Rhinolophus ferrumequinum: one gene and its partners. The protein of the gene in region 2 interacts with the protein of the main gene of each other region in a pairwise test. Links are inferred from orthologs where the notes say so. Each region holds a gene or a part of one and is shown on either strand. Other genes may lie near its edges.

Region 1 (8,281 bases), on a different chromosome or scaffold from region 2:
TAGCCCCACACCCCATCCTCTTCCTAATCAGATTCTCAACCAGTAGAATCTGATTGAGAGTGCCTAAAATCGCCAAGGACATTAATCAAAATGAAGATCCAAGGCTCCGTCCTTCTCCCTGAAACTGATCCTCAGGCAGAGCCTGAGAAACTACATTTTACAAGCACCCCCGTGACAACAAACCAGGTTGCCAGAGATCCACACTTGGAGAAATATACCTCAGAGGGGCTGCTGGCCTCTCCCTTTCTCTCACACAGCAGGGTCATTTCCCCCCACCTCCTGGGTCTCCCCTTCACCCTCCCAACCTCACCGTGAAATCAGAGGAGCCAACAGAGCTTTATTTTAACAGCCCAGTTTATGCCCTGTCCACGCACCAGTCTGAGCGTCCTAGGCTGTTTTCTCTACCTGGAATGCCCTATGTCGCTTGCTGAGATTCTGCCCACCTTCCAAGACGGGGTTCAAATACCACCTCCCATGCATCCTTCCTCAGGTCAGTTTCTCTCTCCTCCAAACTCCACATTTTCTTTATATGTCTATTACCACTTATCAAATTTTGCCATACTTGTGTATGGATTGCTTTTCAGGGTAGGGGGAAAGCGTTCACAGCTATGCCCTCCAGAGTGCCTCAAACAGTACCTTTGAAAGGTTTTGAATTGGGTTTATTAATCAAAAACCTCCTGAGATGCCATCAGACATATTAATCTATGTTGTGCTCTCCGAAGGTAGTTTTAGAGATTCCAATATGCCAAACAATAGATAACAGGATTTGCAAACTGGCAGAAAGATCAGTTTTGTTTTATCTTGCTTTGTTTTTACAAAATGGAATCTGAATGTTTTGGGGCAGGGAGCAAAAAGGATCCATTTTGACAAAGGCCCTGCCATCTATTCACTCAAAAATGCTATCTGTCGGGCCAGGAGGAAGTCTTCCAGACTGTGACTCCTGCTCCGCTGCTAAAGCAGAAACTATGTAATGAGTGAAGAGGAAAACTTAGGATGCATACTGGAGTCTCAGAAACCAAGGAGGGCCAAGATGAAAGTGTAAAACCACAGAAGAAAGATGGAAGAAAAACAGTATAGAAGGTCAACTGAGAAAGGAACAAATCATCAACAGACAGGAAGAAACAATAAACTTGCATAAGGCAAGGCTTCAAAGAGCCGGGGAGAAAAGGAAATTCTCTTAAAATAATTTTCACAGGAAAAAAATCAACAGCTTTATGTTTGTTTTATGAAGAGGTGTTCACATTGGAATTTGAAACTGGGTTTTGTAAAAAAAAAACTAGGGGGAAAAAAACACGAAACAATACTAGTAGTTGTTATTTATAAAGACCATAGTGGTTCCTTCTCAAAGGCTTATTTATATTTATATACACTTATTTATATACACTTAAAAAAAATCAAAACTACATTGTAATCTTAACATTTGGCAAAAGCACTCTTCACATCACTTTAAGTCGTTTACCTGCTAACTCAAACGCAAAAATAGATATGAAATTAAGTAAGAGATGTGAATGGAATTCCTTCTCTTCTCCCTTTTCCGGTTCTGTATGGTTCAGCTTTACACAAAAGTGCAGGAATGGAACTTTCCCCTCCACTGCCTTCTGCTAATCTCTTCATCAGAAGGACCAGGAGACTTAATCCACAGCCCACAGAGTTCGCAAATCCCACTGCCTCCTGATGAAGCACAGTGGGATTAATTATAACAAATGAGTTGCCTATCATTCTATACACTTGGAATATTAATCTCAGTCATTTACAGCCTACTCTCAACCCCAAATGGGAACTTGCGGGCGGAGACAAGACCCAAGACGCCACAGTAAACCCAGGTGACACACTGAAATCCTGGAGCAACTTTCCTGATCACTGTGGGGTTTACATAAGAGGCATTCAAAGCCAAGGTGGAAGCAAAGTTCTTTAGCCAAAGTAACTGTTGATCTGCGCAGCCGGAAGTTATCTGTTCTAACAAGCAAAACCAGCATTTCTGCCTTGTTAAATGGTGCTTATCTTGCATTGACAGACACACTGGAAACCGTGTTTTAAAATGGACCACTAAAAGAAGAAATTCCGAGTTTAAATGATGAGCCGCCCCTTGAGTCCGAATGTTTTGCTGTCTTCAGACAGCAAAGGAAACCGTCATGAATCATCACGTAAAAGCGACAGGGAAGGAAGCAGGGTTTGTATGTTCGTTTGACCCAGAGAGGACCATCACATATTAAATGGCAAAAAAAAAAGTTGTGGGAGACAGCCTCTCTCCGAACAGGAATATCCAAACACACCCAAAGGCCCCCAATTCTCCCACACTCAACACCTGAATTCCGTCTCGGCCCCCTCCTCTTCCCTGAAACCCGCTGACAACGTTCCCGGGCTTGACAACCAACTCAACCCCCTTCACAATTGTAATAAGTCTTTCCCTGGGAACCTCCTCTTAGAGGTCTTCCAGTTTCCTTCCCCACGGTCCCCCAAAACCCCGACTCTGCTCCCACCTTTTACTCCCCGCGAGCACTTTACTTCCTCTCCCTCCATCTGTCTTCTCCTCCCCCTGGTTCCCGCCGCGACCTCTGGCGCCCCGACCACTTTCTCAAGTCCCTTGGTCCAGCGCTCAACCTCTGCCCGCCCTTCCGGCTGCCCCTCCTCATGACCCCAGCAGATCTGCTTCCCACCCAGCGGCGACCCCAACCCCTCACAGTCTCCTTCAGCGGCGCGCTCGCGGGTGGGACCCCGCCCCCCCCCCGCCTCGCACACGGAGGTCAGTGGGGGGACCCTTGCCCCAGCCACGCCCCCCACAGATAATGGGTGACATGGCGGCCCCCGCCACCCGCCCCGCTCCTCCACCGCGGCCCGGACAGCCTCGCTTACCCACACGAACAGGCTGTCGGAGAGCAGGTACTGGGCCACGTCGCGGGCCCCGGGTCCCCCGGCGCTCAGCTGGGCGACCGCGGCCGGATCTGGCTGCACCGGGGCCGTTATCGGCTCCCGCTCGCCCGGCCCGGGTCCGGCCTCGGCCTCGGGCGGGCTGAGGGAGCGGTAGGCGCTGACGATGGAGCCGAGCAGAGCCAGGCCGCTGAGGCCCGTGTAGGTGCGGAGGCTGGGCCAAGGGAAGCGCTCGAGGAAGAGCAGCGGCATGGCGGCAGCGGCGCCCTCCAGCCCGCAGGCCTCCCCGCTTTGCGGCCGGGCCCCTGCAGCGGCCTCGCGAACGGCGCCCACGGGCTCTTGCGTAGCTGCAGCTGCTGCCGCTGCCGCTGCCGCGCCGGGCCGGGCCGGGCCGCTCCTGACCGCTCGCGCCGCTCCCGCTGCTGCCCCTGCCGGCGCGGAAGAGCCTCGGCTGGCTCGGGGCGGGCCGTCGCCTCCTGCCGGGTGCGGGCGGGATGGGAGCGGGGGCGCGGCCTCCGTCCCCCGCCCCCAGCGGCCGCGCCGCGGCCCGGCCAGGGAAGGCCGCTGCGGCAGGCCCTGGGGCCCGGCACCCAGCATTATCCTCCGCCGACTGCCCAGCTCAGCTGGGCCGCGGACCCATGGGGCACCCGCCGGGTCCGAGCTGAAGCGCGCCACCCAGGCCCGACGGCACTGACGGGCGGTCAGACCCAAGCTGTGTGGCCCGTTTGTAGGATGCAGGGACCCGGGCCACCAGGCGTGTCTGGCCCCTTGCCCCTTCGTTACCTTTAACCCCCATAAGTAGGTTATTCTTGAGCACACCTGTGGGCCTAGCAGCTTCCCCGATGGACAAAAGAGACGGGAATAATAGAGGAAGTAATAGAGGCCCTGATCCCAAAAGAAAGTATTAATCAAGTCGTGAATTTCTCGCCAGTAAAAAGCTGTCAAGTTTCTGCTGCTTACTAGTAGTCTCGAGCAGAGTCTAAGACGAACCTAGTTCAGCAAGAAGTAAAAATGTGTTCCTTCATACACCAGGTAGGAATGTAAAATGGTGCATGTACTTTGGAAAATAGTCTGTCAGTTCCTGAAAAAGTTCAACGTAAGAGTGACCATTTGACGTAGCAATTCCACTCCTAGGTGTGTACCCAAAGAAATGAAAACATGGGTCCGCACAGAACTTGTACACAAATGTTGATAGCAGCATTGTTAATAGCCAAGGGTGGAAACAACCCTAATGTTCATTAAATGATGAATCCATAGATAAGGGATACAATGCAGTTTCATTCCGCTATAAAAATGAGCGAAGTACTGATATGCTGCAACCTGGACAAACCTTTAAACCGTGCTAAGTGAAAGCAGCCAGACCAAAGGGCCACATGTTGTGATTCCATTAATATGAAATGTCCAGAATAGGCATAGATTAAGGGTTGCTTAGGGATAGGGAGATGAGGGACCTGGGGGGTAAAAGCTTAATGATGAAAATGTTCTAAATCTGTGGTGATGGTTGCACAACTGAATATACTAAAAATCATTTCATTGCACACTTTAAATGGTGAGATAGATCTCAATTTGTGAATTACAGCTCAATAAAGCTGTTAAAAAAAAAAAAGTGCTGCCAAACAAAAGCATGACCTTGGGGGTCTTATTCTTCATTGTATCCCAAAGGCCTGTAAGTGCCTGGCCCATGGTAGGTGCTCAGTATGTATCTGTTGCATCTAATAAACTTTCAAAAAGAAAAGGACTATATTATCTTCAAGGTCTTTTATGCCTAATAGTTCAAAAATCTATTAATTAGAAAACAAAAAAGATCTCTTAAGGTATTGCCATCCACTTGGAAATTTTTAGAAACATCCTATTAAAGGGCCTGTGATGGAACACAACAGTTCAGCTTTTGGCAGAGGGCAAGTGGTTCACACACACACAGTCATGAAGTCTATATTAGACTTCAGTTCCCCATGGTTCTCCCCACTGCCATTTAATTAAAATGCTAAACTTTCAACTTTATTGGTAAAATAAAGCTTTATTTGGAAAAAATGGTAATTTTCCAGGGAAGTAACTGTTGTAGTTTGAGTCCCCATAATTTCTAAACCACACTGAGATGATTTATATTCAGTCCAAATCACAATAGTTACAAAATGCCACACCAAACTTGTCCTGTCACCATGAGACAGCTGATGATAGATCTGCCCATATTATATTACAATATTCCACCACGTTGAATTTCAAAGTGCTGCAGTCCTTTGAATTATATAATCACTACTTTCAAAGTGTTAAAAGAACTTTAGGCAACCTGTTTTCTGGAATAACTTTGTAAAGTGTTTAATAGCAACTCTTTACTTTTGCTTCTGAATACATAAAAACTATAGTCTAAATTAGTCTTAAACTTTTAGAGGCTTAAACTTTCTGAGGATTCAATATGAGAATAGGTGAAATTAACCCAACTATATAAGGTTATTTTTTATTTGCATTTTAAAAGATTTCAAAGGTTTGTGTCTGGATATTTTACTAGGATATTTGTTCTACTAAAAATTTTCCTCTCCCACTCCAAGGAGGCTTTTGCATATCCTTCTTTGAAGGATTTTTTTTGGCAAGGACATTACCCACTTCTAAAGTCAACTGGTTCTTCGGACTGGATCCCACTCCATCAGAGGACCAGGGGAGGAGGCAAGACAGAGGGATAAAGGGTGTGACCAGGAAGGCTGGACCACAGGTTTAAGGGGCTACCTGTCAGTTGAGGCCCAAGGGTGGCAGGAAGGCAACTGCACCAGACTTGAAGGGGCGTTCCAACTTGCACAAGAACGTATCAGTGGGGTACACAATGAAAACGAGCTCTCCCCACCCCCATCTTCATCTCAGAGTACCATTTATGCCTTCTGGATTGACTCTTGTGAGACTTTGGGTAGGTAGCCCCATTGCCAATGAAAAGACTGAATTTCCTGCCATCTTTGTGAGATGGTGGCTAGATTTAACAGAAATAAATGTCATTTCAGAGAAACCAGAATTTATGTGGAGTAAGATTCATACCTACATACATTACTGCTTTCATTTTTTAAAATATCTGAAACCCTTCATGATCTCATTTGATTTTCACTGTCCTGTGAGAAAGACTGAGTAGTTTTAAAATTCTCAGCGTCCTAGGAAGTGAACTTCCTTATCTAATCCAGTAGCCTTAAATGTATCTCGCATGGAATTCTGATTTCATTAGCTGGACCACAGTGTTCCACTACGAAATCCAGCAGAAGAGGATAAAATAACCAACTTTTCAAGTTTATATGGAAAACACAAATGGGTATACTTTCAATTTTTAGCTTTTCTTTTCAGAATATTCATAGCTCTTTGGTGGCTACTATGAACTACCTATAGACAAGTAGTCAAGTTTTCAGAACTTTGCAGTAACTTTATCAGGTTTTCTTCAACTTTTGTTCAGATATAAAGCTTCAAGACTATGGTTTTATTACACATATATTCTATTTTGGGTGTGTTGTTTCTATTTAAGATGCTGAAATTAGTATTACACAAGCAGCAAGCATAGTGTCACAGAACATGACTTCCAGGTAAGTTTGAGAAAAAAACTATGAGTCAACAATCTCTTTATAGGTGAAGAAACGAAGTCCCCAATGATATAATGACACACCTGTGTGGTAAAATAACTTCTCAATAGATAGGTAGACCCCATCCATCCGTCCGTCCGTCCTTCTGTCCTTTGGTTCCAAATCCAGTGTGACCCCTTCACACTGCAGGATACTGAGTCTGCTTAGGAACACTCCTAACACACACAATGGAGGAGTGCGAGGGGAGGGCAACACTGACGGCTCAGGTCTTCAGGCCCTTGCTAGGATGCCAACCTTTCTCTTAACGAATGGCCTCTGGCCACTGACAATGACAAAGAACCATTCAGGACTTCTGATGACATACTAAGGTTAGCAGCCACACACACAATTACAGAGTCATTGTTTTATCATTGTTTTAATTTTTTTAGTTGAAATGACAGTAAAATGAAATTTTTAAAAAAAGAACAGTGACCATTATAATCCGACCTTTACAAATATAAAAATATAACCAAAACTCCAGTTTTTTATACATTTCCCATAAACTTAATACAAGAAAAATTCTCAAAGCTAAACTATAAATGATGCCTGTATTCTATGATGTAAGCACAGTAACCAAAAGCTTAAATTTTAAATACACTGTTTTCCCTCAACAGAACAGCATAATACATTTTCCCAATTTGTCTTACGATACAATCCATAACTAAAATACGAATTACATCTAAACTGGCTTAATCTAGACTTACTTACATTTTAGTCTGTTTTTTCACACAAAAACAAGCTAATATTAAAATGTGTTTTATGGCTCAAGTCAATGACATTATTAGGTTTCTCATCACATATTTAAACAACAAAGGGAAACTGAAGTGAGTCCAGTTTAACCCAAATAATAAATGATAGCAAACAAACAGAATAATTATAGAAAATGAGTCTTACAGTAAAAAAAACACTATGCCTTCTCTGGCCATGCGAAATACGAAATTACACTCTCTGAAATAGTCTTAGCGATGGCATGTACTGTTCCAAACACTATGAGCTAGTAAAAACATTAAGTTTGAGGAACTCCAATGTGGAAAAGCTGCTCCAAGCATTTCATCTCAAGCGACTGAGCAGGTACTTAAAAAATAATCATTAAAAACCTGAGAGTCTAAGAGTCACATCACTTAAGAAAGGGAATTCTAAACTGACTACATGCTGGCCTGCTGAATCTGGAGGACCTCACTTCTAATTACGCATGGAAGAAAAAAAAATGGACTGGCTAATTTGGTGGTTTTATCCAAATAAAATGCTAACTTCATGGAACCCTTAAATACCCAAAGTAATAACCAAACCACTGTGCTAGTTACAAGTTAAGACAATAGTAAAAATCCAGATCTGCTGTTATAAGTACAAATTCATATACAGAATTATCATAATGCCATTTTATTATCTACTTTTTAAAAAATCACAAGTCTTCATCACTTATGAAAAAAACAAATTTCACTTTTCTTCAAAGGGATATCAATGCTAACAATGATTTAAAACATCTGAGTAAGACTTTTTCCGTATTTTTCCTCACAACCTATTGAATTGTTTTCTAGTACCACTTAGTAGTTGTATATAGAATATGCACTACTCGGATTACTCAGGGAAAATAACCTCACAATACTGTAGTTACACAATACAAAAGAGGGCTCTCATTTATAAACAAACCCGGAACACAGAAGGCAGTCAAACATGTCAGTTAATCATGAGCTCATTTAAAAGCTATTCCACATTTAGCATGTAGAGAATTGGAATGCATGATTTAAGACGGTTGGTTCTTGAAGAGGTGTGATAAGAACTTACTTATCAAAAGACCTTAGTGTTAAACAGTGCCCTTGTACCCT
Region 2 (7,384 bases):
ATTACAGGTGTGCTGGGACACTGACCGTCTCCAACCACTCTCACTGTCTAGCCAGATGCTTCCAACCTCCACAACCCCACCCACCTCAGCATGCCAGTCAAAAATTATTTTCCCCGTGTACCACAACCGGAAAAAAGGTTGGGAGGCACGGATAGGGTACACTAAAGCAGGTATAACCTCAGCTGTAAAATATATACTCTCCGAGTATAAATATTTTTTGAACGAGAAATTCAAAGTCTATCCTTAATTGATGTTATTGATCTTAAAGACTAATTTATTTCATTTTTATCAACTCAAGTAGTCAAATCCTATGTTACATTTGTATAACATGCATGTTTTTAAAATACAGTTCCTGGTAGAGCTTAAGTAACCTCTTCAGCAGCAGTAATATCCTGGTGTAAGAAATCTGAAAACTTTTTAGATAAAGGCAGGGTCAGAGACGCATTCATGTATGGCACATCTTTTCCCAAGCACTCTAACTGAAACCCCAAAATATCCATTTCCTAACCTCCTTCCACACTTTTTTCCCACAGCACTATCACCTTCTAACACAGGACACAATTAACTTAAATATTTTGTTCTTCTCTGACTTCCCCAACTAGACTGTTAACATCCACAAGGGCAGAAATCTTTTCTGCTTTTGTTCACTTCTCCATCGCCAGCAATTCGATGAGTATCTGACAGAGTGGGCCCTCAAAAAATAACTGATGAGCGAATGAACAAATGTCATAATTTGGCTGCAATTTTATGTGTAACAGTTATTTCGGGAAAAAAGTTCAACTTTGCTATTAAGATGGTCAGGAAAAAAAATGTGTTCACCAAAGACAGAAGAACCACATTGGAAGGAGTGCTGTGTTTCAAAAAGCTGGATTTATCTATATTAAAATAGTTTTCAAGATACTACCAGAAAATCTGTACGAGATGTTTTTAAAATACAAATAAAAGACTCAGTTTTACTTGAATTAAAACACCAGGGAACACCAGTTTTCCATTCCTCTCATCAGAAGACACAAAGAAATAAAAGGCGATAAGACAAAGGTAGTACTTGGGGCACAGAAAAATGCAGTATTACACTGGCAAGTATTTTTCCCCATTGTTTAAGTCGTCACATAAAATTCAAGATTATCAACATTAAGTTCCATACTGACTCATTTTTCTCTTAAAAACTGAAATCTGCCTTTTCCAGACTGGAAGCCTAAATCTAACTAGCTAATAAGTTATCCCTATTATTTTCTTGTGAAATATAATCACAAATATTATGAATAGTAAGCTTAATTTTTAGTCTTAAAACAGTTTTACTCTTAACACAAATAATCTTAAATTGGTCGTATAGCCCATCTACTGTTCAACGAGTATTTCACAGTTCCTTTTTTGGTCTCAAATGACGAAACTTCTCTAACGTCTCTGGGGAGATTAGTGTAAAGTATGTTTCCTGAAATTGTTCTTGTTTTTTCCCTGCACCATTTCGCTGACATCTTTTCAACGAGGAATGTTATATACATTTTTTTCCAATTCTCCAGGAAAGTCCAGAGGGAGAAGCAAAAGTCAAAAGAATACCGTGTGGCAAACAGGTTGAAAGGGGATAACCCAAAAGCACGTAAGTAAATGTGAAGCAAATACGTGCATAAGAGGAAGATGATGCAATAAAAGAGATAAAAGAAAACCACTGTTATGCTTAGAAAGGAGGGAAAAAAAAACAAAAACGGAGGGGTGTATAGGGAGGCTTGCTTATTCTTCTAAAAACAAAAGCACAAAATCCTTTCGAGAAAAACTCTAAAAAGCGCTCGGCTGACACTCCAGACGGGAGTTCTGCCTTCTCTTCCTATGTCTTTTGATACAGGTAGTCTTCATCTGTAAATCAAATGCAGGCCATAGATAATGCGGAGTCAATCTCTAAAACACTGCACTTGTGGTTGCCATCTTTGCCAGAAAAAAAAAAAACCAACTCCTCGAATTTGAAAAAAAGGGTTACATTAAGTTGGAAAGCCAGAAAACCATGCATTGCCAAGCCAGGTAGCTATGACACGAGTTAACAAACACCTTCTACCAAACTAAGGTTCCACTAGAGATCAGGGGAAGAAGGGCAAAGGGCTGTAGTCGGACCGCGACTGCATGGGTGGGGCACCCTAGGGGGAAAAAAAAAATTGAGGGCGAGCTCTCTATCCCGGGAGCTCTAAGGGGGTCGGTGACTCGGCTCTCCGGGACATTGCATATTAGGAGGCGATGATGTCGACGGGCGAAGGGCAGCTTCGGGGAGAGTGAGAAAGTGGGCTGCTGTTCGTTGAGAGTGAGGAGGCTGGCAGAGGAAGGTACCCAAGTGGCAAAGGATTAAGAGTCAAAGGGAAGAGAGCCGGGGGCCGCGCAGTGAGAGAGGCCGGCGTGGGAGGCCTCAGGAGAGGCCGCCGAGAGCCCTTGCATCCAGCCGTCTTTTCCCGGAACGCGTTTTCAGCTCCCCCACACTCAGCCCCTCTCAGGGCCGCCCTTCCCTGCGCGACAACGGCGAGAGCAGCTGTTTCCGCCAGGCCGGGGACGGCGGAGGAAAAGGCATCCCTGGGTCCGGCGGGCAGGCCTGCAGCGGCCGTCTGTCCGAGCGGGACACGGCTCCCAGACTACTGCCGCCGAGCCAACGTCAAACTTTGCCCTTCCCTTCCCTTCGCCTTCTTTATCCCCCAACTTCCCGGCCGGCTGGTGTCCGCTTCGGCCAACCGATACCGCCCCCCCCCCCCACGTCCTTCTTCTCGCCGCTTCTCACCCCTCCCCAACGCCCTAAGGCTGGGGAAGGACTCGCCCCCAGGGCCGCTCCCGAGCCCGCCGGGGTGCCCTCGAGTCCCAGATGCCGCCCCCGACGGAACGCTCCCATCCTCTCCGCGGCTCCCTCGCCCGCCCAGATGCTGCAAACTCCTCTCACCTGCATTGACGCCATGATGGAACCATCCCCCCCGAGGGCTGGCGAGGCCAGAGACGCAGGGGGCGGAGCTGCCGTGCTTACGTCACGCCGTGGGGGCCCAGCATCCCGGGCGCGGGAGGCGGGGCCTCCGAGGGATGGGCGTGGCGTAAGCGGGATTGGCTGGCGCGCTGGGCCCCCGCGGGGAGGGGCGGGCGGGGCGCCGTGACCCGCGCTGTCCGTGTCACCCGTTTCATCCCGCTCCCTGGCGCCGGCTGTGAGCCCACCCGCCATGCGGATCGCTTGGGAAACGCGGGTCCCGTTCTGACCTGGCCACAGTTGTTTTTATTTGTCTGTCTGTGTCTCGAGATCTTGATGATGTCCGGACTGTGAGTTTTTTTGTTTTGTTTTGTTTTGTTCTGTTTTGTTTTTCCAACCACAGGTGTATGGTTTACAGATTTTCCCTTTCGGATGTATGTTTTTTCCACACTACGGCGCCCACTTTCAGACCCTTGGGGCAAGACAAAACTTTCCGCGGGGCTTTTTTGACTTTTCGAATCTGAAGGGCTTCTCATATTCCTATTCGGGGAAGAGAGACACAGATTTCCTTGTACAATGGGATGAGAATTGAGAGCAGAACAGCATTTTGCTTTAAAGACAAGGGTAGATTTGTAGCGCTGTAACTTGCCCAAAAGGGAAGGGAAAATTTTGAAGTTTTTTCGTCTGTGTGCGATTTCCGCCCCTTCACTCCATCCCCTCCATTTAAAATTCACGTGTGTAGCAGTAATAGTTACGGTTGTCACAGCATTGGCATTTGATGAGACATTTGCCCCTAGACATGAATTTCTTTTTTTAGTACCACCGTCACGTTATAATATACACATATCTTCTATCACATCCAAACTTCAATCTGTCTCATGGTGGGCAGTTTTGTGGTCATTCGACCTAGGGATGTATCTGAGTAGGGAAAGCTCAACATACGGAATTTATTCTGGGAATGCACCAGTTCTGCCAACATTTATCAGAAGCCACGTTTTAAAAAAGCTATTACAGAATTCAGGATGTTGGTTTACAAGAGGAAAATGGTAGCCGAAGGCTTGCATCTCGTGTTCTAGCTCTAAAAAATTAAGGTAGCTGACACATAGAAAACTTTTACTTTACCAGAATGAAAGCTTCAAATCTTTCATTAATTCGGAGATCTTTTAGAAATTTCTAGAAGTTAATATTTAAATATAAGAGCAGTGTAGGCTATCATCCTTTCCACTCTTAAGCTAGATTATGTTCTTTGAAATTCCCTAACGTAAAGTGTGTTCAAAAAGGAAAAAGATCTTAAAATACACCAATTATTCTATGTTATAATAATAAACACACTATTCTTCATCAGTACAGAGGAAGTTATATTGGTTTACTTTTTTCTCTCAGACTTCCACCCTCATTGCCAGAAATGGGCTGGCTTTCCCTTTGTTGTGCGAAACGACTGTGTTCTTAAGGAATGTTTGGAGGCTCTTGGCAACCAAGAATCACCCCGAAGCACATCAGGTGTTAGCCCAGTGTGTTGGCAACATTTCAACTGTGAGTAAAACCCATATATTCCAACGAAAGAGGAAAACTTTTCCAGATTTATTTTCTTCTGGAGATTTTTTTATTCCTATGATGTCAGAAAATGGCTCCAGAAGATCAGATTTTACCATCTAAGGTTCACTGTTTAAAAGCTAATTCTCCCTAAGGTGTAAGTGACATCAGGTGACCCCGCAAAGCATTATGACATCATCAGAACCAACAACCTGCCATTACAAAGACTAATAAGGGGTTACAGGAATCTTGACAGTCCTCACAGTGAAATCAACATCTGGTCCCTTGAATTTTCTGTGTGTTAAAAAGGATCGTAATAGAGGGGAAAGTCAGTACCAGGCTTATCTTTCCTAGGAAATATTAAATAGTACATAATTACTTCACTATCTTCTTCATTCTTTCAGTAATATATAATAGAAAGTCCCAATGTACTCGGGATAAAATAGTGACCTTCAGATGGGGTTGGGACATGTAATTATAGCCAAAGGGCATGAAATTTTTATATCTAAAACACTTGATTACACAATGTTTGAAGACTAGGCTCACATCTCATTTCTTTAGAGTGGGGCTTACTATCAGATAGGCAAAAGGTAAAATGTCTGACAATCCCAAAAGTGGGAGAGGAAGTGGAGCTTTCATAAACTCTGTAGGAAAGAAATTGGTACAATCACTTTGTAAACAGTTCAGCAACAGTAAAGTTAAAACTTCCCATACCTTTAAAGATTCTTTTTAATAGCATAAATTGCAATAAAAGATATTTAAGGGACATATTAAACAAATGTTAACCTTGTTTGGATCCTGGTTCAAACAAACCAACTGTAAAAAGATATTTCTGAGATAACTGGAAGAAATTTAAATATAAAATGGATATTAGATGATACAAAGGAATAATTATTATTTTGTTAGATTGGATAATGATATTCATTTTTAAATTTACACAGCAATTAGAAATGGCCACCAGGTTAGAGGAGGTGATTCTCTCTTATCTCAGAAACTACCCCCACCTCTGCCTCCCTGGAAGAAAAAAAAAAAAAAAAACCAGGATAGACCCAAGCTGTGTATGTGCCTGAAGTTTTCCCTTTCAAGGAAAGGCACAGCCTGTGATAGAGGATTAAAAGCAGCTGCATTTTCTGGCAGAAAACTGGAAGATATATGGGAAACCAAACAGTCATAGTAACCTGAAGGACCCATGTGTTAAAAAGGCACTAGACTTGCAATCAAAAGGCCTAGATTTGAATCATAACTCTGCTACTTCTCAGTTCTGTGACCTGGAGTTGGTCATTTAAACTTCTCTGGGCCTTAGTTTTGTCATCTGTAAAATGGAGATAAAAATGCCAGCATATGGATTGGGGAGGAGTCTTGATGAGACCATGTGTAAAGGAACTTCATGAAGTGCACAGCACCACGTAGATGAGACGCGGTACCTACTTTATCTTCCAGATGACTCTGTTCTTTCTTCTGTGGGCAGATGTGATGTTGGCTAGAGATGAGAAGTGGGGTATATGGCAGTGACTGAGAAATACCCATACCAAGATCCCCAAATTTCCCATCACTGTGAGCACAGAAGAGTCTGGGCAGACACTCTGCTCTGAACTGAGCCTGCCATTGATAAACTTGCAAGGTCGGGATGCTGCCTCTCCCCACCCCATCCAGTGTCCTCACCCACATGGGGCATCCTCCCAGACCTGCCCTTAGTAAGGGCAATAATGATAACAGCTGTCTTGGATTGAATATTTGCATGTGCCACCATAAGAGGCACTTGTATTTCCTGTATTATTTAATCTTTAAAACAGAACTATGAGGTACATAAACCGATTCCCACATTCTAGGGAAGGAAACAGGCTTCGAGAGGCCGGGGAATTTGCCAGACACCCACCTTATGAACAGCAGAATCAGAATTCTACCTTGGGAACTCGAACTCCATGACTCTACAGATTGAATTATTTAACTAGTACACAATCCTGTCCTTCCAATTCCATTTCTTAATGACCCATATGAATGAGGTGTGAAAATAAAAGTAACTCTAATCAAATCGATTCATTTTAAACTATGAAACTTAACAGGCAAGGTGGATTTTACATTTCACCCAGAATATCTGATGCCCCCAAATATATCTAATTGGTGAATATTCATAATTTGACAAAATATAAAAAAAAAGGAAAAGTGGCAATTTTGACCAAAAAGCATATATTAAATGGCAGGCACTGGGGATATAAAGATGAGTAACATACAGTCCCCATGTTCACATTGCTTACAATCAGGATTTTGATACAAAAGCTACTGACTGGCCATGAGGGGATCATAAGGGAGGGTCACGTGGTCTTGCCTAGGACCTGAAGATGGCTTCCTGGAAGAGCCAAGGCCTGAGCAGAGGAGAAAGGGGAGAAGAGGCTTTCCAGGCAGAGGGAGCGTTAACCATGTAATTGGTGTTTACAGAGGATGACAATTTGTTATTGCCCAACAAACTGATGGAAGGAGGTGGAAGACAGGCAGGCAAGACCTGGTCACGGCAGGCTTGGTTGGCAGACTTTACCTTAGAAACCATGTGACAAAGTTGAGGTCTTTTCAAATGGGAAGTGGTGAGGCCAGATTTGTGTTTTGGAATGACTTCTCTGGTGGCTGAACAGATTTGATCAGGTACGATCAGAAAACAAAAATCAGAAAAGAAGGCCATTATAAGAGTGTGACCAATGGAAGATGAGGGCTTGGACTAGGGCACAGAGGAAGCAAAGGAGGATTCTCGAGATATTTAGGAAGGGGAACAGACAGGACTGAGACTTGTTGTATGTAGGGGACAAGGAAAGAGTGGGGTGCCATGTTTCTGATTTGAAAATACAGAAGTTGGTAGAAGGAATGAAAGTAAAGGAAAAAAATAATTCATTTTGGACATGTTTGAGGATTTTAAGCTTCCTGTGACATCTGTCATAC
Region 3 (7,593 bases), on a different chromosome or scaffold from region 2:
CAAATCAAATATTTCCTCTAAAAAAGAGGCCCTCTCTAACCACTCAATCCATAGTAAAGCTCCACTTCCATTCATTCTCCATTACATAGTCCTATTTTCTCAAGGCACTAACCACTACCTAAAACTATTCTGTTTATTATCCGTTTCCCCCAGCTAGTGTTCACTCCACTAAGTGCAGAGTGCCTTCTTCACCGAAGACCAAGAACAATGCCAAGAACATGAGACATTCAATAAATACTTACCAAATGACTAAATGATAATGCAGTACCTCTATTAAAAACGTAAGCTCAGTAATATTTGTTTTTAAACATTTGTAGCTCACTCCTCATGTAATGGTTTAGAGTACTTGCAGAAACCTGGGCCAGCTATTTGCAAGAATCTGAGATACAGGAAAGAAAGGACAGAGGTGCGTGGCATTCAAATGTAATTCTGGACTTTTACTGAACAGTGATCATAGGTTTCTGAAAGAAAAGTTATTCGGGATGATTTAAAGAGCATTATCAAGAGTAAAATAAAGTTTCATTTTTTAGTATCATATAAGAGCTATTAAATCATGACTAATATCTACAATGGGACAGAACCATTACCTGGAACAACAAACATGGCTTCACCATAGTTTTCTTTTCCTAATGTACAGTATGTATCATGAAGGAATTTATACTCTCAGTATAGCATTTCTTTCTGGAGATTGGATCACGATGAATACAACAATAAACACCAGAAACACCTAACTAAAAATACAAATCATTAAATTTAAGACCTAGGGACAACTGGCTATCTAGCCGACACTTCTCATTTAAAAGTTGAGAAAGATCTGAAGCCCAGGATGGTTATCAATAGTTACAGATCTAATGACTAGCAAGCAAAGCTAGATCTAAAATCCCGATGTCCTGTCTCTAGCCCTATACTCTTTCATAACATGTCACCAATAGAATATTAATGTCAAGTTATAACATACTTTAATTACTACCATTTTTAGTATTGTCATCCCCCTCCTTTGAAATCCTAGCCCACTGGAATAAAAGTCAAAACAGAAACACATATAATTATGCTCTAAATAAACCATGTTACAGAAACTCTTCTTTGATAATAAAAGAAACATCTAAAAAAATCTAATTTGATTCAGTGAGATTTTTATTCCACATTGTAAAGTAAAAATGACTATTTAGGAATATCTGCTGACTATACCTTTGTTTTAGACATGTCGTAAACTGCCATTCTTGTATTTTAAAACATCACTATAGCTATTTTTCAATTATCTGTAGAAATAAAGTACTGAAGTAAAATTTGTCAAGTATAATGTATTTTTCACCAAAATGAGATTATATCCTTCTTCAAAAACCAATTCCGGTGACAGAACTAACATGCAAGTGACCAACAGACACCAAACAAAAGGAAAAAAGTGACGGAAGAATCCACACATATAAGATAGAGCACCCCTGATGAACAAGGAGAGACTCTTTCTAGTTTTTCATACAATATTGTTCAGACCGATTCATAAACACGCTCACTAGTTCTTAGAATACTACTCTGTATCTTAGGCAGCAAACAAATGAGCAAGAGAGATGTCATTTGTCCTAAGTTAAATGACAAGAGAGACAGACGAATGTAAAATAATACAAGGCTTTAAAAAAAAATTTTTTTTAAGATTCTTTTTAGAGTAAAGGGCTTCTTTCTCATCCTGTTTTGTCTCACAACCAAGGACTGTTTAGAATGAGAAACATGGTTTATTTATGACATGAAAATTTTTACTGAAATACATAGAGTAACAAACTATCAAAATGCAGATCTTCACCCTTATAAAGCTAAGTAAAACCATTATTATAGAACTTCTGTGTATTATTTAAATTACATTGTAACATTTGAAAGCAATGACACAACAAAAGTGGGAAAGGAAATGGAACTTTAGCTTTTCCCGTCTGTTCTTTTTAGTTGAAGATGTCCCTAAAACAAGAAAATTAAACATAAAATAACAAATGAAATAAAGTTTGGATTAAGTTAGGTTCAATAGGTGTAAGAACTATAAAGTCTGTTAGCTGGCATCTTACCACTCCAGAGTCCTAAATTCATACTGCACATAAATCAAGAAACAGGAAAGCATACAATACAATGAATGGAGTCATTCCACACTACAAACATGAACAAATTAAATGAATACCCTATACTTCCTGGTATTTTTTAAACGTTAAAACTTAGACTTGCGTTAAGAAGTATCTGTAAAGATCTATTATAACCTACTTAACAACTATTGTGAAAACCCTCTATTTCTGCCGTATAGAACAGCTATTTCCACTACAGCATTGTCACTGATTGATAAATTATCTAAGGAGAATAAGAATATCAAGCTTTTTTTTTTAATGACCAAGCCAACTCTATAGAAAATCTAACGCGTCTGTATTTCTGCTGTTCCGGGGACGTTCCCTTGATCACATAAGAAGGCAATTCCCCAACCGTGAAGGCTGACTTAGCGCCCTCCAACACCCCGGGTGCGGGTTACCTTCATCACTCCATTGTCAAATCGCACACCCACGCCTCGGTCCTCAGCCCCCATCCTAAGACTCTAGGTAGAGTCGAAAAAGAAATCCCCTTACCCACATTCCCTTACTGTGTGGGGTGTGGGTGTGTCTGTAGACGAATGCTTCGCTCAAACACAATTAGATCTTCTGCGGAGACCCAGACCCTAAGTCATTACGCAGCCAGCAATCACCGGCCGGTCGCCGACCCCAGCCTTCCGCGGCCGCAGCCCTTCCTCTTTCTCCCCTCCAGGCCGGCCCCTCCCCCGTTGCGCGCACGCGCGGCCTCCAATCGATCCCCTCCCCCCTGGCCCCCTCACCTTAATCATTAGCCACCCTCTCTTCCCAGGGTCCTGGAATCACTGGCCCAGGAAGGCAGACAGGAGATATAAGGGCGGAAAAGGATGTGTCGAGAGCCAATGATCTGCGCTTCAGATCTCGGCCTAATAGGCCCCTATAGTAAAGAGCAGCGTCTGTCACCGCCACCAAAACTGTACGAGCTGCAGCGCCTGGTTCGGCCCAGCTCACCCGGCTTGGGTTCAGATGCCTAACTTGGTCCCACAGGAACTCCTTCCCCGAAGCTGCGGGCGTTTCTTTGCTGCACAGACAGAAAACCTCGCCACCGTCGCCGCCACTACTGCTGTTCTGCCGCTACCGTCGCCGCCGCCGCCTTACCAATCCCTCCTCTACCAAGCAAGCACGACACTCCGAGGCTTTACGACAATTCGGAAAGTGAGAGCGCTGTAGCCTTCACGCCTCTATTAACATGTTTGTTTCTGCGCTTGCTCAGATTCTTGTTTCTCACTGCCCCGCCCCTTCCTTCCCGGCCCTCCCCCTTTGTACTCGCTTTATCGGTCTGTTCGTGAAGCTGAATGGTGTCCTGAAGCTTGTAACAGTATTTTATTTTCCCTGGTGATTGTGCGTTCGGTATTTAAGCAAAACACTGACTACATAAGTCTTAGCTAATTTTTTCGTAACTAAAAATTACAACTAACTACAGAATTATTGACCATATTTACGGTACAATTAAACAAAAACATCATGGTTTAGTGTTTAATGACAAATGATACCCAAATCATACTCGCTGATGACAAAGATCATGGCACCTAACTGTTAAGATGAATCTGCTTCCAGAATCAGATAAAAAGTGGTCATAGATATCCTGAGAACTGTCTGTGCAATCATACACGCCTCCTTATTTCATGAAAATCAGTGGACAGCAAAAGTTTCATTATGTGCATTAGGAGGATGTAGGCTTTGGAATCAGACTTCCTTTCAAATCCCAGGGATACCAATTAGCTGTCTGATGTATTAGTCTTTTATAAATCTATTTCCACAAAAAAAAAAAGTCAAATACACCTCAATTTAGAAAAAGCATATGTAAAACAAAAAATTCTCAATTTCCTCCTCTATAAATTGAGATAATATTTACCTCAAAGGGTTTTTTTTGTGAGATAAAATACATTCTATATAATGCTTCAGACATTATTTACCAATTAAGTGTTTAATAAGTATTAATTCCTTTTGTCATAAACTTTTTCTCAATACCTTTTTTGTTCACTCATGTTCTCAATTTTGTTCAGTGAAGAAAATATTTTAAAATAATAAGAAGAAAGGATAGCAGATTGTGTGCGGAAACTAGAAGAGCACTGTACTAGGAATTTTCCTCAATCCTCCTCTTTTCTCACTCTAAATGTAAAATTCTGTCTGGACTTCTCATCTACTGCCATGGTTTTAACTGTTATCGACTCTTAACTTCTCAGAGTTGTACATTTCCAGACCTACTGTTCCTATATTTCCAGACCTAACATTTTTTCTAAAGCTCTTGCCAGCTTTTCTAAAGCTGTTCTCCTCAATAAAGTAGGTTCTAGCCACATATAGTTGTTGAGCATGTGAAATGTAGCTGGTACAAATTGAGAAATGCTGTAAGTGAAAACCATATATATTCAATTTTAAAGATACAATATAAACATTGTAAAAATCTCAATAATTGTTAATGTTGATTACGTGTTGAAATAATATTTTGGATATATTGGGTTAAATCAGTGGTTCCAAGCCTGGATGATTTTGCCTCTCCCCCCAGGACATTCAGCAATATCTGGAGACATTTTGGTTTTCACAACTTAGGGGGGGGGGGGTAGCTACTGGCATCTACTAACAAGAGGCCCAGGGATGCTGCTAAACATCCTACAATGCACAGGAGAGCTCGCCACAACAAAGAATCACCTGGCCCAAAATGTTAATAGCACAGTTGAGAAACCCCAGGGTTAAATAAAATATACTATTAAAATTAATTTTACCTGTTTCTTTCACTTTTTAAAAAATGGCTACTAGAAATTACATTTGTAGCTCACATTATATATCTATTGGACAGCACAGACTGATCTAAACCCATATGGCTGTTTGTTATATATGTCATTTCCACTTTAATCTCCCACAAGCATCTCTAACACATCATGTCAAAAATAATAAATAAATAAACAAACAAATAAATAAATGGAGGTATATTGTATTTACACCAGATCCATCTCAGCCTTTCTTGCCTCAGTCAACAGGACCAAGTTATCTAACTAGAAACCCCAAGGTCATCTTTGATTACTCCCTCTTCCTCACTCTCTACCTCTAATCAATCTATTATATAAGTCCTTCCATGTGTGCCTCTCAAATATCTCAAATATCAAAAATCAACCCATTCCTCTCCATACTCTGCACTAGTCTAGGTCTTTAGTATTCTGTTTAACAAACATTTATCAAGTACTTAGAATGTGCTAGACATTGTGCTGGGCACTGTGAGTACTAAATAAATAATCACTGCCTTACTTGCAGTGTTTTATGAGACCCAGAAAGCAAATCTATTATTTACACTGTCATGTGGAAGGGATAGGATGGTGTAATAGTGCTCTGAGAATACAAAGGTAGAACACAGTAGTCAAACCAGCAGGATATTTAAACTACAGTGATGTTTAAACTAAATTTTGCAACATTAATAAAAATAGTTAAATAAAACAACTAAAGGGCATTCGAGGCAGAAAGATCAGCACATGCTAAGGTACAGAATCCTGTACCTGAAACAGCATGAAGCAAATTCTCTACTAGGAGCTACTGAATGTATCTTGGGGAAATTATCAAGAGTTGCGAGAAAAAAAAGTAGATAGAAATGGACTAACTTAAGTAAGATTGTGTTTGCTAGGATAAGGTATTAGAACAATTTTATACTTAAAATACTGGGAGCCATTAAAGGAAATCAATCAGAGCAATAATAGATTTGACTATTAGAGATCCCATTTATAAACCAAATAGAGGGTGGATTGGAGAGGAGCAAGAGTAAAGGAGTGAAGACCAGTTGGAATGGCAGGTAAAAGTGAGGAGGGTGGTGGAAATGAGAATGAAAAGGCACAGATTCAAGAGATAAGAAGACTTAATAACTAATTGGATATATGGGGTGGTAGTGCCATTTAATAAAGAAACACAGGCTTGCAAAACCCAACTTTTTGGGTTTGGGACTTTTGGTTGGGGTCAGCATGAGGAAAAAGGTTCAGAGAAAGAAAACAACTACTCCTTTATTGGGCAAGTTGAGTTTGAGGTATCTAATATTTACTCAAAGTAAAGATTCCAGTAAGCTATTGGATATATGGGTCTGGAGCTCAAAAAAGAGGTCTGGACTGAAGACAGAGATTTGGACTCTAACTTCTATGTGATAGCTGAATCGAAATTTTTGAATGAAGTCACCCAGAGTATAAGTGAGAAGAGACAGATATCTGGGGAAGTCTGATATTTTAAGAGTCGAAGAATGAAAAGAAGTTCCAGAAGTATATGGATAGGCCAGAGCAAAGGGAGAAAAACCAAGAGAAGTAGGAAATAGGCCAAGTAAGAAAAAGAGTTTCAGTATCAAAGTGTGTTATCGACAATATGAACTGTCCATTAATTTGGCAATAAGGATATCTGTAAACAAGAGCAGCTTCAGCAACTGTCCTATATTTTAGAACGGGATTTCAGCTGGGGTGATTTTGACCCACAGGGGTTATTTAACAATGTCCACAGATATTTTGGAAAGACGCTACTAGCATCTAGTGAATATAGGTCAGGGATGCTGCTAAACATCCTGCAATGCACAGAACAGCCCCTCACAACAAAGATTGATCTGGTCCAAAATGCCAATATTAAGTTGAGAAACCCTGGTTTAGAAAGGACTGAGCAGTGTAGTTAGACAATGACCAGTACTTTTCATGAAATTGGTAGTAAATGGAAAAAGATAGGACACATATCTAGAAGGATAGAAATGAAGGGAAACACGTCAGCATAGAAAGAGAGATGAAAGATAATGAAAATAAAGGGATGCTCCATGGAGGCACAGGAAATGGGATTCAAAGCTCAGATGGAAGAACTAGCCTTGGATAGAAGAAAGGAGAGTCCTTTCATTGAAACAGGTGAGGAGGAGGAGGAAGTGATTGTACAAATGAATTAAGTGTGTTAGCTTCAGGGGGAACATTGAGGACTTGGCTCATTGAATGACCTTGATTTCTCTGTGAAATGTGAGGTAAGGCCATCTGCTAAGATAACAGGTTTTTGAAATGGCGGGGTGGAGAGTAATTAGAAGAGAGAGATTTTAAAAATCAGAATAGTCACTAACATGACGGCAGGGCGGTTATTAGATGGGCAACAAATCAAAGGCGGGAAGCCCAGAGCAGAAAAGGCGTGAGACTGAGAAAACAGGTGAAATGAGGTTGTATTTAGGGGAATAATGGTAGATTATTGGGGTGGGAGATCTCTCTCACCTGAATTACATACAATAATTTCTTGATTTCTATGCTGCAGCTCCCACCACTATCACCATACCACTCCCGATTTAACCTTAAACCACTATCAGAATATGGCAGAAACTGCTTGGGACACTAAGTTGCTTAAAATCCTTCAAGGACTCTCCATCACCATCAGCATAAAGACCTAAGTCCTTAGCTTGGCAAATAAAGCTCTTCAAAATTCAGATTCTGCAGTGCTATTTCATACCACCCCTTCACACCCTGTTCCCTGCCCCCGCACTTAGACTTCTCAAATTTCTTATAGTTCTCCAGAAAACAAT
Region 4 (8,014 bases), on a different chromosome or scaffold from region 2:
CCACCTTAGCTCAGCCTCTCAACACAGAAGAAAGTGGAGGGGTCTCTCAGAGTTTCTTCCTGGCCTCCCTTTTTCCTCTTCCCTTCTCCGCACCCTTCCAGAAGGCTGTCCCTGGCATCATAATCCTGGATTTAATTATGGGGAAGTGTTGCCCCTCTCCTGTTGGTCCTATGAGGATAGGTCTGGGCTGGATAAGTGAGCTAGAGACAGGCCTCAGAAGTACTTCAGCTCCCAGCTCTCCTCCACTGGGTTCCACAGCCATACTCTAGCCCACCACAGCACCATTCTATGCCAAGAGACACAAAGACAAGCACCAGCTCCTCCAGGGATCAGCGAGTAGGGACTGCAGGCAGTAGGAACCCAAGTTCCCTACTGAGAAGAGTGGCACCAGAAGGAAAGCTGGGAAGTCCAACTCAAGGGATGAGAAAGTTCACACTCCTCTCTACCAGGGCTTAATTCTGGCAAAAACAGAAGATAGGGAGGGCTTTCCAAAACCCATGCACATGAGGACACAAATTGGAGGGGATGAAAGCTAATCCACCCACACCTGGCATGGGCTCTCCCCCAAGGCACAGTACTCCCACCCCATCTTCTCCCTTCCCCCACCAGGTTCCCCACAGATCACACTTGTCACTCCCGCAGGACTGGATCCTGCCGTAATGTCAGTTACCCTGACCAACTGCTCACCCTTGCAAAGATGCACACAGAGGCTGTCAGAACTATCAACAGAACTTTATTCACTGGAAACCGAGCCAGAGAGACCCCTCAGGGAACTGCACGCCCCTAGGCCCTGGCCCCTACTTTGTTTGGACCCTAGTGATGTGCACAGTCTGCCCTCACCAATGCCAGGGAGACGCAAATAGAAGGGGAATGTCATTTTGATATGGGGAGTGAAAGGGATATGAGTAGAAATCTGGTTCTCTCTCCTGAGGCTCCTAGTGGAGCTGGGGTGCCAGAGGGTACATGGTCCCAGAGCCAGGTGCAGACACCCCACCCCTCCACCCCCCAGGGGTAAACTCTTGATCCCAGCTGTTGGATCAGGTTGGGAAGGAGCCTTGTAAGATTACGACAGGGAGAAGTGTTAGTTCTGAAGGCACCTGAGATACTACCCCCAAAACCTACCAAGCGATAGTTGTGACTGAAAGTAGAGGTTCAAGATCATTCCAAGGCCCTTGAGTTGCCAAAACACTCAAATGACACTGATGTGTTGTGGCTGCACAAACTGGGGAAACAAGGGGGAGGGGGCAGGGAGAGGAGAGGACCTGCAAATCCCCAACAGAAAAACCAGAAGCAGAGACAGGGAACCCCCGAGGCTGGCATCTGGGTGGGCCCTGGCAAGCTGGAGGGGAGTCCACAGCAAACAGTCTCAGGGTCTTGCATAGCAACACTCACCACCCTCAGAATCGCAGGGACCCACTAGGTAAAGAGAAGCTGTTACCCTGTCCCCACCCAGGTCACAGTCTTCCCGAGTATCCCATTGCAATGTCCTGGGTGTATGGCTTGGGGGCTTGGAATGACAGCCATGGGGGCAGGAGGAGATTCAGGCCAGGCCCGGGTATCAAGTGTTAATGTTGTCCTAGTACAGGTGGCTGTATGGAGCATGGAGCTGGAGAGGTGGGCAGGCAGGCAGTTTTCAGAGGTAGACATTGAGGGTCTGCAGAATGCCCCTGCGGCAGAGTGGACAGTTGCGGTGGTAGATGGGATGGCGCATCAGGATTTCAGTACAGGCCTGGCACAGGCACAGGTGCCGACAAGGGAGAAGCAGCACCGTCTTGCTCTGGTCCTGGCAGATGACACACTTCTTCCGCTCCTCTTGCTCCTTCAGCAACTTCCATGGGTCTTGCCCAGCTATAGACTCCTCATTGAGCCTCTCCCGGCCCCAGGCAGCAGTCACTCTGGCCATCCTGACTTCCTCCTCTTCTGCCTCTGATCTGGGCCCTGCTTCAGGAGGAGTGTCCTGTCGCCAGGTCCTGGCTGAGGGCACCCTTCTAGGGCCACCCCGAGGGGCCCCAGGTGCCCCTGCCCTGTTTGGCCAACTCGCCAGCTGGAGGCTGCGGCTCCAGACTCTGCTCCAGACTTGGCGCCAGGCCTCCAAGCCCAGTGCTAGGCGAGACAGTCGCACAACATCCTCTCGGAGCTGGTGGTAGGATGGCCGGGCATGGAGCTGACTGAGTGCCCGTGTGGCCAGCCTCATGGTAAGGTCTGGGTGCAACACAGTCACCGTCACTGCCAGCACACAAGCCAGTAGCACCAAGCCGGTGAGACTGACAAGCACAAAGCTGGCCAGGAGGCGGGCAGCTGAGGCCAGGAGCTCCAGTGCTAGTTGGCAGGGAGTCCAGAGGAGGATGGCCATGGCCACAGCGCTGCTGGAAATGTGAGCTAGGAAAGCAGCCATAACATCTGTCATCCTCCACAGCGGCCCCATGACTGCATCCCATAGGGCCAGCACCAGGGAGAAGAGGTTCTGAGTGCCAATGAGGCAAATGTTGACCAGGCTGTTGATTACATAGGCCACCAGGCTCATAGCGATGGTACAGATGTCACAGGCCTGGCGCAGCAAAGCATGGCCATTGGAGACCACATTGAGGACGCCCCGGTGTAGTATATCCCGGCTCCTTAGTGCCCCATGAGAGGCTAGGTGTCCCAGGAGCTTTAAACTCTCCAGGCCAGAGCAACAGCTGTACAGCAGGGTACACAAGGCCTGCAAGCTCCCACAGGTGAAACGGACCAAGGCTTCGATCAAGGCCAGCAGTGAAAGCAGGACCCCGCGACCCAAGTGCAGAAGACTAGTCAGTACCGTGTGTGGCAGGTTGTAGATGAAGGCCAGGAGCCAGGCCAGGGAAGCAAGGAGGGAGGACACCAGCAGGAAGTTGAGGTCCAACACCAAGGTCAGCACGTCCAGCACTAGGCCCACACCATTCACCACCAGGTACACAGCCTCCATCATATGGCTAAGGAGGTTAGTCCAAAGGAAGTCTGGCTCCTGGTTGACGGAGGTATCAAAGTTGCCAATATTTTGGGGGGTCGGGGATTAATTTGGAAGGAAAGTGAGCAGTTTCCAACCCAGGGAGAGGATCAAGAGTCAGACAGAAGTGGGTTAGAGGGAAGTGGCGTCTCCATGGAGGGAACGGGGGCCAGGTGCTGGTCCAGCAGTCTTGGTTTTGAAGGCGGGCTGTCTGGGAGGGAAGAGGCCAAACATCTCTAAGATGGAAGTGAGCCCGGGCTGGAGGACAGACTCAGCTTTGCAGGCCTGATGGTGGCGTACCACGGCCAAGCAATGAGTCAGACCGAGAGGAGACCCGGAACGGACCGGGCCGGGGCCGGGTGGGGGCGGCGCAGGCTGGGCGCAGGCTCGCGGTCCAGCTATGCAGGTGCCCTGTCCCCGCCCGGCCCCCGTCCTCTGGACTCGCAGCGCTTTGCGCCCAAAGGGGGAGTGGGAAAGGGAGTCAACCTCAGCAAACCCCACGTACGGCCTCCTCTCCGCTGGGCGCCGCCATCTTGTGTGCGAAGGGATGGAGCCAGAGGCGTGCCGAGGGGGAGGTACGACGAACTCGGGCCAATCGGCGAGAGTCAACCGCAGGGAACATCGAGCACTCATTGGTCCATTTGAACGGCGCCCAAACTTATTTACTTTCCAAAGAAAGGGGCAGAGACAGATTGAAATCTCTGCCCTTTTGAGGCGGTGATTGGTCAGTTGACAGGCAGGGGAGGAATATGCCGCCCCCGACACGAGCAGGATTTTGCTTGGGACTAAATATGGGAGCTGTTCTTTCTCTTGATCTGTGGGAGTGGTCTATTTAGGTGCGGGTTGGCGGTCACTGTCTCTGAGCTGGGTTCCGGAATTGCACCGCCTCCGCCTCGTCCTCAGGGTTTCTTCTCATCCTCCTCTATTCTTTCATTTATTCTCTTATTTACTGAGCTCCTACAAATGAACGGGGGATACAAAAAATGTTTAAGACGGGGCCTGCTATCAAGCAGTTCATAAGGGGAAACATTTTTATAGGAGATTCCCAAGATGCTGTTCCAAACTGTTTTCTCAAGCCCCATCAGGTATTCTCAGTATCCTCAGATGTCCTTGAGAAAAGGAGGCCACAGACCAGAAATAGCTCACCCTCCTACCCCAGTCCATATTACTTTGTTTGCTTGAACACTCTAATTAGACATCTGTGGCCTGGGAGGCTCCAGGTTCCTCAAGAAATCATCCTTTTCTTTAGTATTCAAAATATATTTGAAACCCCACCCCAAATATATTGTGAAGCCTGGTGGTATTCTCTGCTAAAGCGAAGGGTACTTGGGGGCTTATCCTTCCCCTGGTCCCCACTGCTTTAATTTCTTACTTGTAGTGAACTCTTCATCTCCACTGTGGCCTGGACTCCTGAAAGTGTCTGTCCCCCTTCACCCCTCCCTGAACACTGCCTGAATCCTTCATTCCCTAATGTTCCACTTATACAAAGCTGAGGTATTGACAAGAGATGTTCTAAATTAAATTACAGCTGTGGGAAAGTGAAAGAGACAGGAATAATAAATGGCAGGCCAATTAAAGGATCATATTCCTGAATATATATGTTGGCACTTTGAATCAACCTCCAGGTGTTTATTAGCAACCACTACCGCCACTGCATATGCATATGCATGAACTTTCAGGACTGTTACCTGTAACCAATCAAAAGTAGGAACTATTTCTTCCTTACAGATGGTGCTCCTATCATAGGACTGCCCCTCTTCACCTTATCCCACCCCCCTTATCTGTAGCTAATGTAAATTCTTTCAAAACAACTTATATCTTTCTTCCCCAAAACATAATGTATAAAAGCACTCATCAGCTCCAGGACTGTGGACATGCTTATCTTTTCTACTTAACCCTGCTGCTGGTGGTTTAAACTTCATGCCCCAAGACCTGGTCCCTTCTGGCTAATAATATGGCCCATAAACTCTTTCTTTTAAAAAGGTTTCCAGCCATGGAAGTTGTTTGTTTGTTTAACAGTATGAAGCAAATCTTTACTGAGGTAAGGGGTTCCCAATAGGGTTTACACTATACTGCAGAGCAAGGACTGCAGTTTCTAAAACTCCACTGGTTTTTCCCCTGGCCTCTCCCTAGACTCCAACTTCCCATTTTGTTACAATATTTTATTTTACACAGCAGTCTATCTCTACTGCCAACCCAATCTAAACTCTAACCACAAAATGCTGAGCTCTCTAAACAAAGGAAAATAATATAAAGATTCGTTTTAGCCTCCTGCCCAGATCATGGTCTGTTATGGTTATTCCTATTGATATTGTTTCTATTGTCCCACTGTGCATTTTTCCCCAATTTCAAATCTTGGAGAATATGCCCATTTCCCCTTAAAGATACTTGATCCCACCACCCCTAACATCTCCTCTTCAAAAATCTTACTTGTCCAGTGACTGCTGTTGTGAGAGATGCTATCTGGGAATAGAAGGTGTGGGAGCTTGGAGGTTAAGAGGTAGAATAAAACCATGAAGGAATGTCTAACTCAGGAGTTTTGCTTTGTAATATTGTATGTACCATAATTCTCCTCTTCATCTCCCTAGCAAGCATCTTCCTGCAACACTTGACACCAGTGACCACTTCCTCCATCCTTGGTCCCTGGACATTACCCTCTCCTGTATTCTTTCCGTTTCAGCCTTCTCCTCTACATGATGATTTTAAAATCTGTGTCTTCAGTCTGAATCTCTCTCAAAGTTCAGGTTTTGGCTGCTTCCTGAACACAGACAGCTCCCAGATATCTCACTGGTGCTTCAAACTCAATGAGTCCAAAATCAAACTCAGCAACCTTGCTGTGCCTGCACTGTGTGCAATTAACCAGCCAGATTTGCACACCAAGAAAGGCTTTTTTGGAGTTGGCAGGATCCTCTAATACAGTATTTCCATTATTTTGGTACCAAGGCCTCCCTTTTCAGTGCTCTGAGATATTACTCAGCTAAAGCCACCTTAAGTGAGCCACAACCTTTGACTCAGTTGGCAACCCATCTATGGGCAGGCAGAGGTTACCTGTGGTCAAAATTCTTGTGACAAATGAATTACTACAAAATATTCTTAAGCTAGAAACATAATGGCTGAGAATATCATGTGACCACAATGCAAAAGAAGTGTTGGGATGCGCCCCCCTTGGAAAAACCAGGGTGCTTCCCAGTGCCTAGAGGTTGTAAATCGCTGCTCCTTGAGGTGATCATGAAAACAATGGTTCGATTTTGATTCAAGAAGTATCTCTACTAACTAGATAATATTTCTTTCTCCTCCAAGACTGGGTTTCAGATAAAGCTGGTTCAAACCCACAGTTGCCCAAGCAGGGAGTCATCATCTATTTGCAGTCTGGAGAAGGAAGACTGGAGAGTGTTGATAGGAAGAACTCACACCAACTGACTTTAGGAGGAAGTTCAAATTGTTTAGTAGTGTGAGTCCCAGTGACTGTAAAGAAAATAAACCAGATTGTGAAGAAAACTGAATGCCTGGAGATACTATCCTTGCAGAATTCTATAATATAAGATGTAGTGGGATGAACTGAAGCCCTCAGGCCTTTATCCCCAAGGAACCTGCTGGAGCATCAGTTGGTTTCTGCTGCTGTGAGAAATGCTTTTTTGTTCTGCTAGGTGAGAGATGCTAGCTGGGAATAAAAGGGGTTTTTAGAGGTATGGGAGCTTGAAGATTAAGAGGTAAAATAAAACCATGAAGGAATATTTAATTCAGGAGTTTTGTTTTGTGATATTGTGTGTACTATAATTCTCCTCTTCATCTCCCCATCAAGCATTCAGTAAAATCTATGTTACCACCATGGTTTTAGAGTTGGATTTTTTCCTTTTTGATTTAATTTTGCTTTTTTTAAATATAAATTTTATTGGGGGACAGTGTGTTTCTCCAGGGCCCATCAGCTCCAAGTCGTTGTCCTTCAATCTAGTTGCGGAGGGCGCAGCTCAGTTCCAAGTCCAGTCACCATTTTCAATCTTTAATTGCAGGGGCCGCAGCCCACCATCCCGTGTGGGAATTGAACTGGCAACCATTATTGAGAGCTTGCACTCTAACCAACTGAGCCATCCGGCCACCCCTCTAGAAGCTCAGCAGGAGCTCATTGTCTTTAATCTAGTTGTGGAGGGCGCAGTTCACTGGCCCCTGTGGGAATCAAACTGGCAACCCTGTTGTTCAGAGCTCGCGCTCTAACCAACTGAGCCATCTGGCCGCCCCTAATTTTGCTTTTTAATTTTACAAATCATTTGTAGGGTCCCAAAGTCAGAGCTACATAAAAAGGTACATTCGTAGAAGGTTTGTTTTTATCCTGCCCCCTCCACTCTGTCCCCTCCCAGTATCACAAATCACAAACACACCAAAAAATATTTTCCTCAGATAATCAGGACCCAGGTCTTCACTGGTACAGCAGAACCCATAACCCTAAACACCAGTCTGGCAATAACTGTTTAGGCCCAGAGAGGCACTTCACCACATCTCATAACCTATATCCTGAAAACATGTGTTAATTGTCCAAACGCCATGAATATCTGTGGTTTATGCAGTGTGGATTTGAGCAGTTGAAGCACTTAGGATAAAAAAGGAATACATTAATTAACTAGTCAAATCCTCTTGCTTTTCTTCCTGTTACAATTTGTGCTTCCAAAGTACTCGTAAATTAACGCAACATTTGCAATGGTAGCTGAGGAACATCTGCAATATGAGATGTGACAATTAAGTTTGCAAACTCATCCTAGAAAAAGTGCTACATACCTCACTGCTGAATATCACTACGGTCGCCTTCGAAGTCCTCCCCTTGGGAAGCTATGCACCAATGCCAGCTCCTAGTCCACCCTTCAAAGCAATTTTGGAACTCTTTTTCTGGAATGGCCGTCAGAGCTGTCATTGTATTACCCTTGATGTCCTGAATGTCATCAAAATGTCTTCCTTTCAATATTTCCTTTATCTTCAGGTAAAGAAAGAAGTAATTGGGGGCCAGATCAGGTGAGTGGAGAGGGTGTTCCAATACAGTTATTTGTTTACCGGCGAAAA

Evidence for each region.
Region 1: the proteins of UBE2W (region 2) and AMFR interact in a two-hybrid assay, tested with the Homo sapiens proteins (2 studies listed by BioGRID and IntAct). The link is inferred for Rhinolophus ferrumequinum from reciprocal best matches to the Homo sapiens genes UBE2W and AMFR.
Region 3: the proteins of UBE2W (region 2) and RNF111 interact in a two-hybrid assay, tested with the Homo sapiens proteins (2 studies listed by BioGRID and IntAct). The link is inferred for Rhinolophus ferrumequinum from reciprocal best matches to the Homo sapiens genes UBE2W and RNF111.
Region 4: the proteins of UBE2W (region 2) and RNF26 interact in a two-hybrid assay, tested with the Homo sapiens proteins (2 studies listed by BioGRID and IntAct). The link is inferred for Rhinolophus ferrumequinum from reciprocal best matches to the Homo sapiens genes UBE2W and RNF26.

Annotation. Positions count from the first base shown.
Region 1 is NC_046298.1:9,398,638-9,406,918, forward strand, and holds the start of AMFR (E3 ubiquitin-protein ligase AMFR), read right to left. Parts: upstream 3,315-8,281; 5' UTR 3,121-3,314; coding exon 2,854-3,120; intron 1-2,853. UniProt on the Homo sapiens protein: E3 ubiquitin-protein ligase that mediates the polyubiquitination of lysine and cysteine residues on target proteins, such as CD3D, CYP3A4, CFTR, INSIG1, SOAT2/ACAT2 and APOB for proteasomal degradation.
Region 2 is NC_046297.1:8,840,501-8,847,884, reverse strand, and holds the start of UBE2W (ubiquitin-conjugating enzyme E2 W), read right to left. Parts: upstream 3,003-7,384; 5' UTR 2,924-3,002; coding exon 2,909-2,923; intron 1-2,908. UniProt on the Homo sapiens protein: Accepts ubiquitin from the E1 complex and catalyzes its covalent attachment to other proteins.
Region 3 is NC_046289.1:50,671,683-50,679,275, forward strand, and holds the start of RNF111 (E3 ubiquitin-protein ligase Arkadia), read right to left. Parts: upstream 3,217-7,593; 5' UTR 3,042-3,216; exon of another isoform or gene 2,834-3,041; intron 1-2,833. UniProt on the Homo sapiens protein: E3 ubiquitin-protein ligase. Required for mesoderm patterning during embryonic development. Acts as an enhancer of the transcriptional responses of the SMAD2/SMAD3 effectors, which are activated downstream of BMP.
Region 4 is NC_046294.1:88,565,889-88,573,902, reverse strand, and holds RNF26 (E3 ubiquitin-protein ligase RNF26), read right to left. Parts: upstream 3,248-8,014; 5' UTR 2,948-3,247; coding exon 1,634-2,947; 3' UTR 717-1,633; downstream 1-716. UniProt on the Homo sapiens protein: E3 ubiquitin-protein ligase that plays a key role in endosome organization by retaining vesicles in the perinuclear cloud.